2 linked regions of the Cricetulus griseus genome follow. The protein of the gene in region 1 purifies or fractionates together with the protein of each later gene. This does not show direct contact. Links are inferred from orthologs where the notes say so. Each region holds a gene or a part of one and is shown on either strand. Other genes may lie near its edges.

Region 1 (4,300 bases):
GCATTGAACCCTCCGGAACTGGAGTTACAGGCAGTTGTGAGCTGCCATGTGGGTACTGAGAACTGATTAGAGGACCTCTGGAAGAGCAGCCAGTTCTCTTAACCACTGAGCCACCTCCCAATCTCCAGAAATTTTTGTTTTTCGACACAGGGTTTCTCTGTGTAGCCCTGGCTGTCCTGGAATTCGCTCTGTAGACCAGGCTGGCCTCGAACTCAGAGATCCGCCTGCCTCTGCCTCCCCAGTGCTGGGATTAAAGGCATGTGCCACTACTGCCCAGCTCCAAACCTGGCCCTCTCTCTCATCTCTGTCTCTCTGTCTGTCTCTGTCTCTGTCTCTGTCTCTCTCTCTGTGTGTGTGTGTGTGTGTGGGTGGGTGTGTGTGTGTGGTTTTTAGAGACAGGGTTGCTCTATGTAGCTTTGGAGTCTGTCCTGGTATTTGCTCTGCAGACCCAGATGGCCTCGAACTCAGAGATACGTCTGCCTTTGCCTCCCGAGTACTGGGATTAAAGGCCTGCGACACCCCTGCCCCACCCAAGCCTGGCTTTTTTGTTCAACACTTAAAAGGTAAAAGTATTTCTTGAGTGTGAAAATTACATGAAACAAGTTGTTTTATTGAAACTCACCCACAGGAATTTATTTTGTGGGCTGCTTGCCTCTCGAAGTAGTATAGTTGAGATGCTACAGACATGGTACCACTTCCCAAACCTAAATAGCTATCACCAACCCCTGACAGAAAGTTTGTCTGCCCCTGGTTAAAGGAAAAGTGCCTCATGTCACAGTCACAGGTGCTGAGGAGGCACTGAAACAGGATGAGGTAATAAACTGGGCAAGGGAGGTACTTTCTGAAGGATGGTGGAAAATTCTCTCTGAAAAATTGACATCCGAACTGAGTGCGGACATTGAGGGAAGAGTGTTGTAGGTTTCCCAAGGGCAGAGTCCTTGAAGTCGGAATAAACACTAAGTAGCTACAAGCATTTTCTTGTGTAATGGATGAGTCTGGAAAGCAATAGACCGTCAACTTGGAGGGGGCAGGTGATTATGAAAGAAAGGTCTTTGGATTTTATCATACAGGCCTGAATCCCTGCTGTGGGGGAATGATCCACAGGGCAACAGAGTGTGCCACAATGGCTTTGTGCGGAGCTTGGATAAGGATAGTGCCAGCTCTCGGTGCTGGGCCTGGAGTATGCTTAAGTCAGGGGACCACGCCGGCATGGAGAAGAAAGACCAGGTCTTGCTCCAAATCAGAAAAGATTTAAAACCCCCAAGTAAGGCTTATTATTGCCCTGGCCCTAGCAGAAGTAGGGGGTGCCCGGAAATGGAAGGCGGGGTGGGAAGGGGCAGAGGTACGGGCGCTGGCAGGCGGGCTTTGGGAGGCGGGCCTGGCAGGCGAGGGGAGAGACCCGAGCGCTGGGCGGAAACGCTACTCGGGCTGCCGGGGGAGCCCCCGCCTCTCAGTAGGCTGTCCCCGCCTCCTGCAGTCCCTCCACTCCCCAAACCCAGGAAGGCCGTGCAGGTTCCGAGCTCTGCTTTCGCTTTCCCTTCCCGCTGCCCACTCCAGGCTCCTCGTGCGGCGCTCAGCCACCCCCCCCCCCGCTCCGACCATGGCCACCCTGAGGGTCCATCCTGAAGCCCAAGCCAAGGTGAGCGCTGCGGGTCCGAGTGGCTCGAAGAGGCATTAGAGAGGCGTGGCTCGGAGCGGACCCGGATTCCGGGGATCCGCTCCTAGTCCTGCATTTGAGTCGGGGGTCTGCTCCCTAAGCCTGCTGCCAGAAGCACCTGCTTCACTGGGGGTAGGTGAGGCGGCTGTGGTTCAGTGGGGTGAAATGAAGCCGAGGGCTAGTGTGAAGTCTGCTGGCTTGCGGCCCGGGCTACACACAGACGGAGAGAGGGACTTACCCCGGCCACCTCGAGCTCTTTGACTCAGGAAGGGCACACGCCTGCACCCTGCCTCTGCCCACAGGCTGAGTGTTTTAAGACAGGGTCTCTCTGTTATATAGCCCTGGGCTCGAATTCACAGAGAACCACATGACTTTACCTCCCTAGTGCTGGGATTAAAGGCAGGCATGCGATACCACTCCCGGCCAGAGGGCTTTTTTATTTCCTTGCACAATCCTGGTGACCCCGGGAATCTTCTCCCTAAATCCAGTGATCCACTTGGGGATCCACTGAACTCTTCCCCAGAGAGTTTCAGGTGTGCTGAAAACTACAACACCTCAGGCCACCCTATAGAGGGACCCATCTCGCTTTCTTCAAATGTGGCCTTAGAGGGATCCACTCTATTCCCCAGGTCAGGCCCTACACAACCCAAAGGGAATTGTCCTCAAATGAACTGGCCTTAAAAGCTAGGTATCTGAAGGGTTGCCTGTACCCTACAGGTGGATGTGTTTCGGGAAGACCTGTGTAGCAAGGTAAGACCTACTCATCGGCAACCCCACCTCCAACCAGCTGCTGCTGTTCAGCCTTCCCTTGCTGGGCAGTGTGAGCCCTTACTTCACTGCCTAGGAAAGGGTGTTTGATTATGACCCCATCCTCCTCCACCACCTCACACAGACAGAGAACCTGCTTGGGAGCTATTTTCCCAAGAAGATCTCAGAGCTGGATGCATTCCTAAAGGTACAGGGGCCCTTGCAAGTACTCAAGAGGAGCCTGGGGGTGGGGGTGTGGTAAGATAAGAGGAACACCCTCATCTCCAGCCCTACCATTAGGAGCCAGCTCTCAATGAAGCCAACCTGAGCAATCTGAAGGCTCCACTGGACATCCCAATACCTGATCCAGTCAAGGAGAAAGAGAAGGAGGAGCGGAAGAAACAACAGGAGGTAAGCTGGGAGGACTGGGAGGTGGGCCAACAGTAGAGAAAACCAGCCTCAGTCCTGTCTTCCTCCCCACAGAAAGAAGAGAAGGATGAGAAGAAAAAAGGGGAAGATGAAGACAAAGGTATTTGAAACTTGGGAAGAGACAGGCTTGTGTCTCCTAACTTCCGAGTTGCACTGTGCACACTCCCCTTTCCAGCTCTCCCAAGTTCAGTCACTAACTGACCCATTGCACACTGCCTAGGTCCTCCCTGTGGCCCAGTGAACTGCAATGAAAAAATCGTGGCCCTCCTGCAGCGCCTAAAGCCTGAGATCAAGGATGTCATTGAGCAACTCAATCTGGTGAGTTTCACTTTCATCCCTCAGGCTTTGTCCTCTTGGTGTCTGCCAGTTAGGACAGTGATTGCACATAGGAGAGGGAAGAGCAAAGGAGCTCCAAAGGGGCCCTTGCAAGTACTCAAGAGGAGCCTGGGGGTGAGGGTGTGGTAAGATAAGAGGAACACCCTCATCTCCAGCCCTACCATTAGGAGCCAGCTCTCAATGAAGCCAACCTGAGCAATCTGAAGGCTCCATTGGACATCCCAATACCTGATCCCAATACCCAATACCCAATACCTGATGTTGAGCCTTGGGCTCAACATGGATCTGGCATTCCCCTGTTCACTGTGGGCAGTCAAGGGAAGAATAGGAACCTGGGACTTAGGGTGTGTGGAGGGGAGGGAAGGAGACAGTGGTAAAACCCTGATACCTTCCTTTGCTCCAAGGTCACTACTTGGTTGCAACTACAGATACCTCGGATAGAGGATGGAAATAATTTTGGAGTGGCTGTCCAGGTAAGAGCACTGCCCCCTCAATCTACAGCCCTCCTGTGTAACCCGTGCTCCCTTCTAACTCACCACTTTCTTTCCCAGGAGAAGGTGTTTGAGCTGATGACCAGCCTTCATACCAAGCTGGAGGGCTTCCACACTCAAATCTCTAAGTGAGTTGCCTGGCCACTACACCCCTAGCACACTCTGCCTTTGGGGACAGGCCTGGGCTCCTTCCTTTTTCCCCCCACTCCATACAGACTACTTCTGCTTCCCACAGGTACTTCTCAGAGAGGGGTGATGCGGTGACCAAAGCAGCCAAGCAGCCCCACGTGGTAGGTGAGGCCCAGGTCAGGTTTTGCTGGGGAAGACACATTTCAAGCCAGGACTAACCCTGAGTTTCTGCAGGGTGATTATCGGCAGCTGGTGCACGAGCTGGATGAGGCAGAGTACCAGGACATCCGGCTGATGGTCATGGAGATCCGTAATGCTTACGTGAGGAGGGGAGAGGGCGGGGGGGGGGGAGGATGACAAGATCAGCCTTTCCAAAGCTAGAAATGGGACACAGAACCACTGGGGGCCTGTGGCTGACCTCCACTACTCCATGTTCCTATAGGCTGTGTTATATGACATCATCCTAAAGAATTTCGAGAAGCTCAAGAAACCCCGTGGAGAAACTAAGGGA
Region 2 (4,303 bases), on another chromosome or scaffold:
CTTTTAGCTGCTGCAACGTCTCTCCAGCCCCTCCAAACTTAACGTTTTTCGAGACCCTGAACCTGAACTCAGATTGTGCTACACTTGCTGACCAGCAAGCCAATAGCACCCCTCCAGTCTCTGCCTCCTAAGAGCTGGGATGCCATTGTGTGAAGCTGCTTTTAAGAAAATAAAAACAAAGCCGGGCATTGGTGGCGCACGCCTTTAATCCCAGCACTCGGGAGGCAGAGGCAGGTGGATTTCTGTGAGTTCGAGGCCAGCCTGGTCTCCAGAGCAAGTGCCAGGTCAGGCTCCAAAGCTACACAGAGAAACCCTGTCTCGGAAAAACCAAAAAAACATAACAAAAAAAAAGTGGGTAGGTGGATGTTTCGGAATATTTGTTTATGCTGTAAAGAAGTGTCTTTGCCTAAGGCGTTGGCGTTTTCTAATGACTTTAATAAAGAGCTAAATGGCCAATAGCTAGGCAGGAGAGAACAGGAGAGACTTCTGGGCAGAGAGAGAGACTGGAAGAAGGAATCTAGGCACACATGATTTTGTGCAGTACTAAGAGGCAACTGAGCCACGTGGCAGAATGTAGACTAAAAAAATTATATGGGTTAATTAAGTTATGAGAGCTACCTGCGAACAAGCCTAAGATAAGGCCAAGCTTTCATTATTAACAAGTCTCCATGTCCTTTGTGGGCCAGCAATCCCAACTAGAAAGTACTGCTACATTTGTGGGGCACCAAATGATGTCTTTCCATCAGCTTAGGGGTTGGCACATGAATCTACAGGTATTTTAATTATTGTCTACAGCCCCACTGCCCACATTATGCACCCCATTGGCCACACCTCACAGGGCTTCTGCTCCTGCACCCTGGCTCTGTTACAGTCACCATATGTAGGTTTAAATTAAGTTTCCAGTCGGGTGTTGGTGGCCCACGCCTTTAATCCCAGCACTCGGGAGACAGAGGCAGGCGTTTCTCTGTGAGTTCGAGACCAGCCTGGTCTACAAGAGCTAGTTCCAGGACAGCCTCCAAAGCCACAGAGAAACCCTGTCTCAAAAAAGAAAACAAAAAAACAAAAAAAAACAAACAAACAAAAAATGCAACACATAGATTAAGTTTCTATTTATGTATCTATTTATAGGCTGGGATGAAAACCTGCTAGCTCAGGGAGGCTGAGGCACAACTAACTGACCTTGCTTTATGGCAGGATACACCTCAAGAGGGGCATATCTTCCCTCCTCCCAGAACCAAAATGAAGCTCAAACTCTAGTTCTGGCTTTCCCCTTTCCTTACTGTATGTCTTCTGTATCGAAATTGCTTGCTTCTCTATGGCTGGCTCTACCCCCTGATTCAAAGTAAACTTTATCGACAGTCTAGAGTGTCACAGTGTGACCAGGTCTTGATGCTTGTAAGAGCAAGCCCTTCACCAACTTAGTCGTCTCACCAGCCTCACAAGTTTTTGTTGTTGTTCTTTGTTTGTTTTTCCCTGAGACAGGGTTTCTTTGTAGCTTTGGAGCCTATCCAGGAACTCGCTCTGTAGACCACGGTGGTCTCAAAATCACAGAGATCCTCCTGTCTCTGCCTCCAGAACGCTGGGATTAAAGGTGTGCACCACCACTGCACAGCTGTCTCTTGGGGCTGGAGAGAGGGCTCAGGTTTAAGAGGACCCGGGTTCAATTGCCAGCACCAACAAGGCAGTTCCAGTATCTATCCAGTTCCAAGGGATGTGACACCCTCACACAGACATACATGTAGGCACAAACGCCAATGCACATAAAGAGGAGTCAATAACTCATACATACATACATACATACATACATACATACATACATACATACATACATAGAGATTCTCTTCTAGAAGCCCAGGCTGGCTTTGAATTTGAGATTTTCGGGTCTCAACCTTCCCAATGCCGGGATTACAGGCCTGGGCCTCCAAGCCTGCTCACTCTAGTTTTTTGGGGGTGGGTTAAGTCACCAAAAGATTTGGGACTTTACTTTCAAAGCGATTAAATACTCGGGAAATGCAAGCGCTTCGAGTCTCAGAACCACGTGTCTTTCCCAAAGACCCAGTGACTCAGGAAAAAGAAAAACGCAGAACTCTCTCACTGCTGACGCTTGCAGGTGTCGGGCGGTCCCATTTCCAAATGGCGCTAAGGTCCCCGAGCAAATCCCGGGACGCGGCGAGAGGCCCACCGGAACCAGAATACAGCGTCGGTGGAGCAGGCGAACCCGGAAGCAGTCGGTCCCCGTCGCAGGGCCGCCCTTTGTTCACCAACGCCCGTCTGGCCTAGCCGGGAGGTCCCCAAGTCCCCGCCGGCGCCGACTCTCAGCCCCCCACCTCCCGCGCGCACCTGCGGCCTCCGTCGTCCGCGCCGCGCCGCGCCAACAGCACCAAGATGGCCCCGGCCGGGCGCGCGATGCGCTCCCCGTGACGCTCTGCAGCGGGCAAGCCGGCTCTCCAGGGAGCATGGCGCAGTCCCCGCGGCCCGGCTTCCTTCCTAGGTCGCCACCCTTCGGCTCCCGTCACCTCCCGGGCCACCCGCCGCAAGCAGAACGCGGGGGCCCCGCTCCCGGGTCTGCGAGCCCTGCTTCCCCGTGCGCCCTGCCGCGCAGGCCCCGCTCGGGCCGGCTCACCGCAGTGGAGCCCTTCTTGACCGCCTCCTGCGCGTACTCCACTTGGAAGAGGTGGCCGTCGGGCGAGAAGACGGTGATGGCGCGGTCGTAGCTCATCCCGGCGGACGCGCGAGCTAGGGCCGCCGCCGCCGCCGCTCAAAAGCGCACACTCACCGCTTGCGCCCGCCCGCCGGCCGTCTCGGGCCACGCTGCTGGCGTCCGCGGCGTCTGGCGTCAGGGGGACGTGCGGCGCGGCGGGGCGGGGCGCGCGGGCGGAGCGGGCAGGGGCGGGGCGCGGCGGGGCGGGCGCAACCACCGAAGCCCGGCACAGGGGCGGCGCGGCGGCGGCCGGCTGGACGCAGAGCGCAGGCGGCACAGCGGCGGACTCGGCGCGGGGTCCAGTCCCGGAAGGCGGTGGCTTAAGGCGCAGGGACGCGGGAGGCCCGGGCGCGCGTCGGCGGCAGGCGGGCGGGCGAGCCCACGGCACGGCATCCCCCGCGCCCCCGCCCCCGCGCTGCGGAGAATGGGCACCTCGGGCCGCGGGGCGCAGCCGGAGAATAAACCCGAATGATCACGGGCTGAGTCCGCGCCGCCACCATGTCCGTGGCCTTCGCGTCGGCGCGGCCGAGAGGCAAAGGGGAGGTCACACAGCAGACCATCCAGAAGGTGGGCAGGGCCGCGGGGGTGCGGAGCGAGGGTGCGCGCGGGGCGCGAACAAAGCCAGGGCACAGCCGGGCCGCAGGAGCCCTGACGGCGGCCCCGCGCGCCCCCAGGAGAGCCTGCGCCAACTTTGCCGGAGGCGCCGGCAGCGGGGGCCCGGCGGCCGCAGGGGGTGGCCACCCCGGAGCGCGTCGCGCGGTGTCCTCTGAGAGCGCCCCTGTCAGCCGACGCAGCAGTGCGGGACGCCGGGGCCCGCGGCCCCTCCAGCCGGGGCGGGGGCTGGTCGCGCTCCGCTGACAGCCCTGGTGGCGTCGGTCGCGCGCCTCTGCGCGCAGCTTGGCGAATGGAGAAGGGGGCGCGGGCTGCCTGGTGGCGCGCCGCTGCGGCGAGCTGACCGGTGTCGTAGGTATTGCGGTCCCCGGCACAAAGGGACGCATCCAAAGTGTGCGTGCCTTCCCCACGGCCCGCAGCGGGCTCCCGAGCTCGCTGCAGGCGGGTGGACCTGAGGCCAGCGCAGCCCCGCCCCCGCGCGGGTCACTGGGCATCGGCGGGCCCCGCTGCCTGCACCCAGACTTCGGAGATTTCGTCCTGCAGTCTCGGTCCCATCCTTTATTCGGGCTACTGTTTTCCAAAGAAGGCGTTTGCATGGGTTTGGGGACATATTTAACAAAAGCTTTAAGTTTTGACATGAACACTTTAGCATTTTACTGGTTGTCTTTCGGTCTGAACATCTTTCCTACGCTCTGGCTTTTCTCAGTTCGGGTTCCTTCTACAGAATTTCCGAATTCCCTTGAGCCGGTTAGGTCCCCAAGGGCCTTGGCATTTTAGGCCCTCATAACCTGAGGGGCTTGTGGGTATTTACTCAGCTTGTCACCTGTTTCCCAGCTCACCCTTGCTGTATTCCGCCTCTTTGGAATATAATGATTGTCGAAATCAGCAAGCTTTGGTGAGCTTTGGGCAGGAGAGATTATTGGAGCAGAGCAGAAATTCGGATTTTCCAGTGTGGTTTTTGTATTAACCTTTTGAGAGCTGTGGGATGCG

What was found. Proteins that work in one complex are often made in the same cells at the same time.
Region 2: the proteins of Psme1 (region 1) and Psma7 purify together in Homo sapiens (affinity purification with mass spectrometry; 5 studies listed by BioGRID and IntAct, with this or other methods). This does not show direct contact. The link is inferred for Cricetulus griseus from reciprocal best matches to the Homo sapiens genes PSME1 and PSMA7.

The regions. Positions count from the first base shown.
Region 1 is NW_023276807.1:210,783,120-210,787,419, forward strand, and holds the start of Psme1 (proteasome activator complex subunit 1), read left to right. Parts: upstream 1-1,479; 5' UTR 1,480-1,600; coding exon 1,601-1,639; intron 1,640-2,374; coding exon 2,375-2,407; intron 2,408-2,549; coding exon 2,550-2,612; intron 2,613-2,704; coding exon 2,705-2,815; intron 2,816-2,887; coding exon 2,888-2,933; intron 2,934-3,053; coding exon 3,054-3,151; intron 3,152-3,573; coding exon 3,574-3,642; intron 3,643-3,720; coding exon 3,721-3,788; intron 3,789-3,895; coding exon 3,896-3,950; intron 3,951-4,023; coding exon 4,024-4,110; intron 4,111-4,231; coding exon 4,232-4,300. UniProt on the Homo sapiens protein: Implicated in immunoproteasome assembly and required for efficient antigen processing. The PA28 activator complex enhances the generation of class I binding peptides by altering the cleavage pattern of the proteasome.
Region 2 is NC_048599.1:1,892,224-1,896,526, reverse strand, and holds the start of Psma7 (proteasome subunit alpha type-7), read right to left. Parts: upstream 2,815-4,303; 5' UTR 2,720-2,814; coding exon 2,624-2,719; intron 1-2,623. Other genes in the region: calcium-responsive transactivator, read left to right, coding at 3,200-3,268.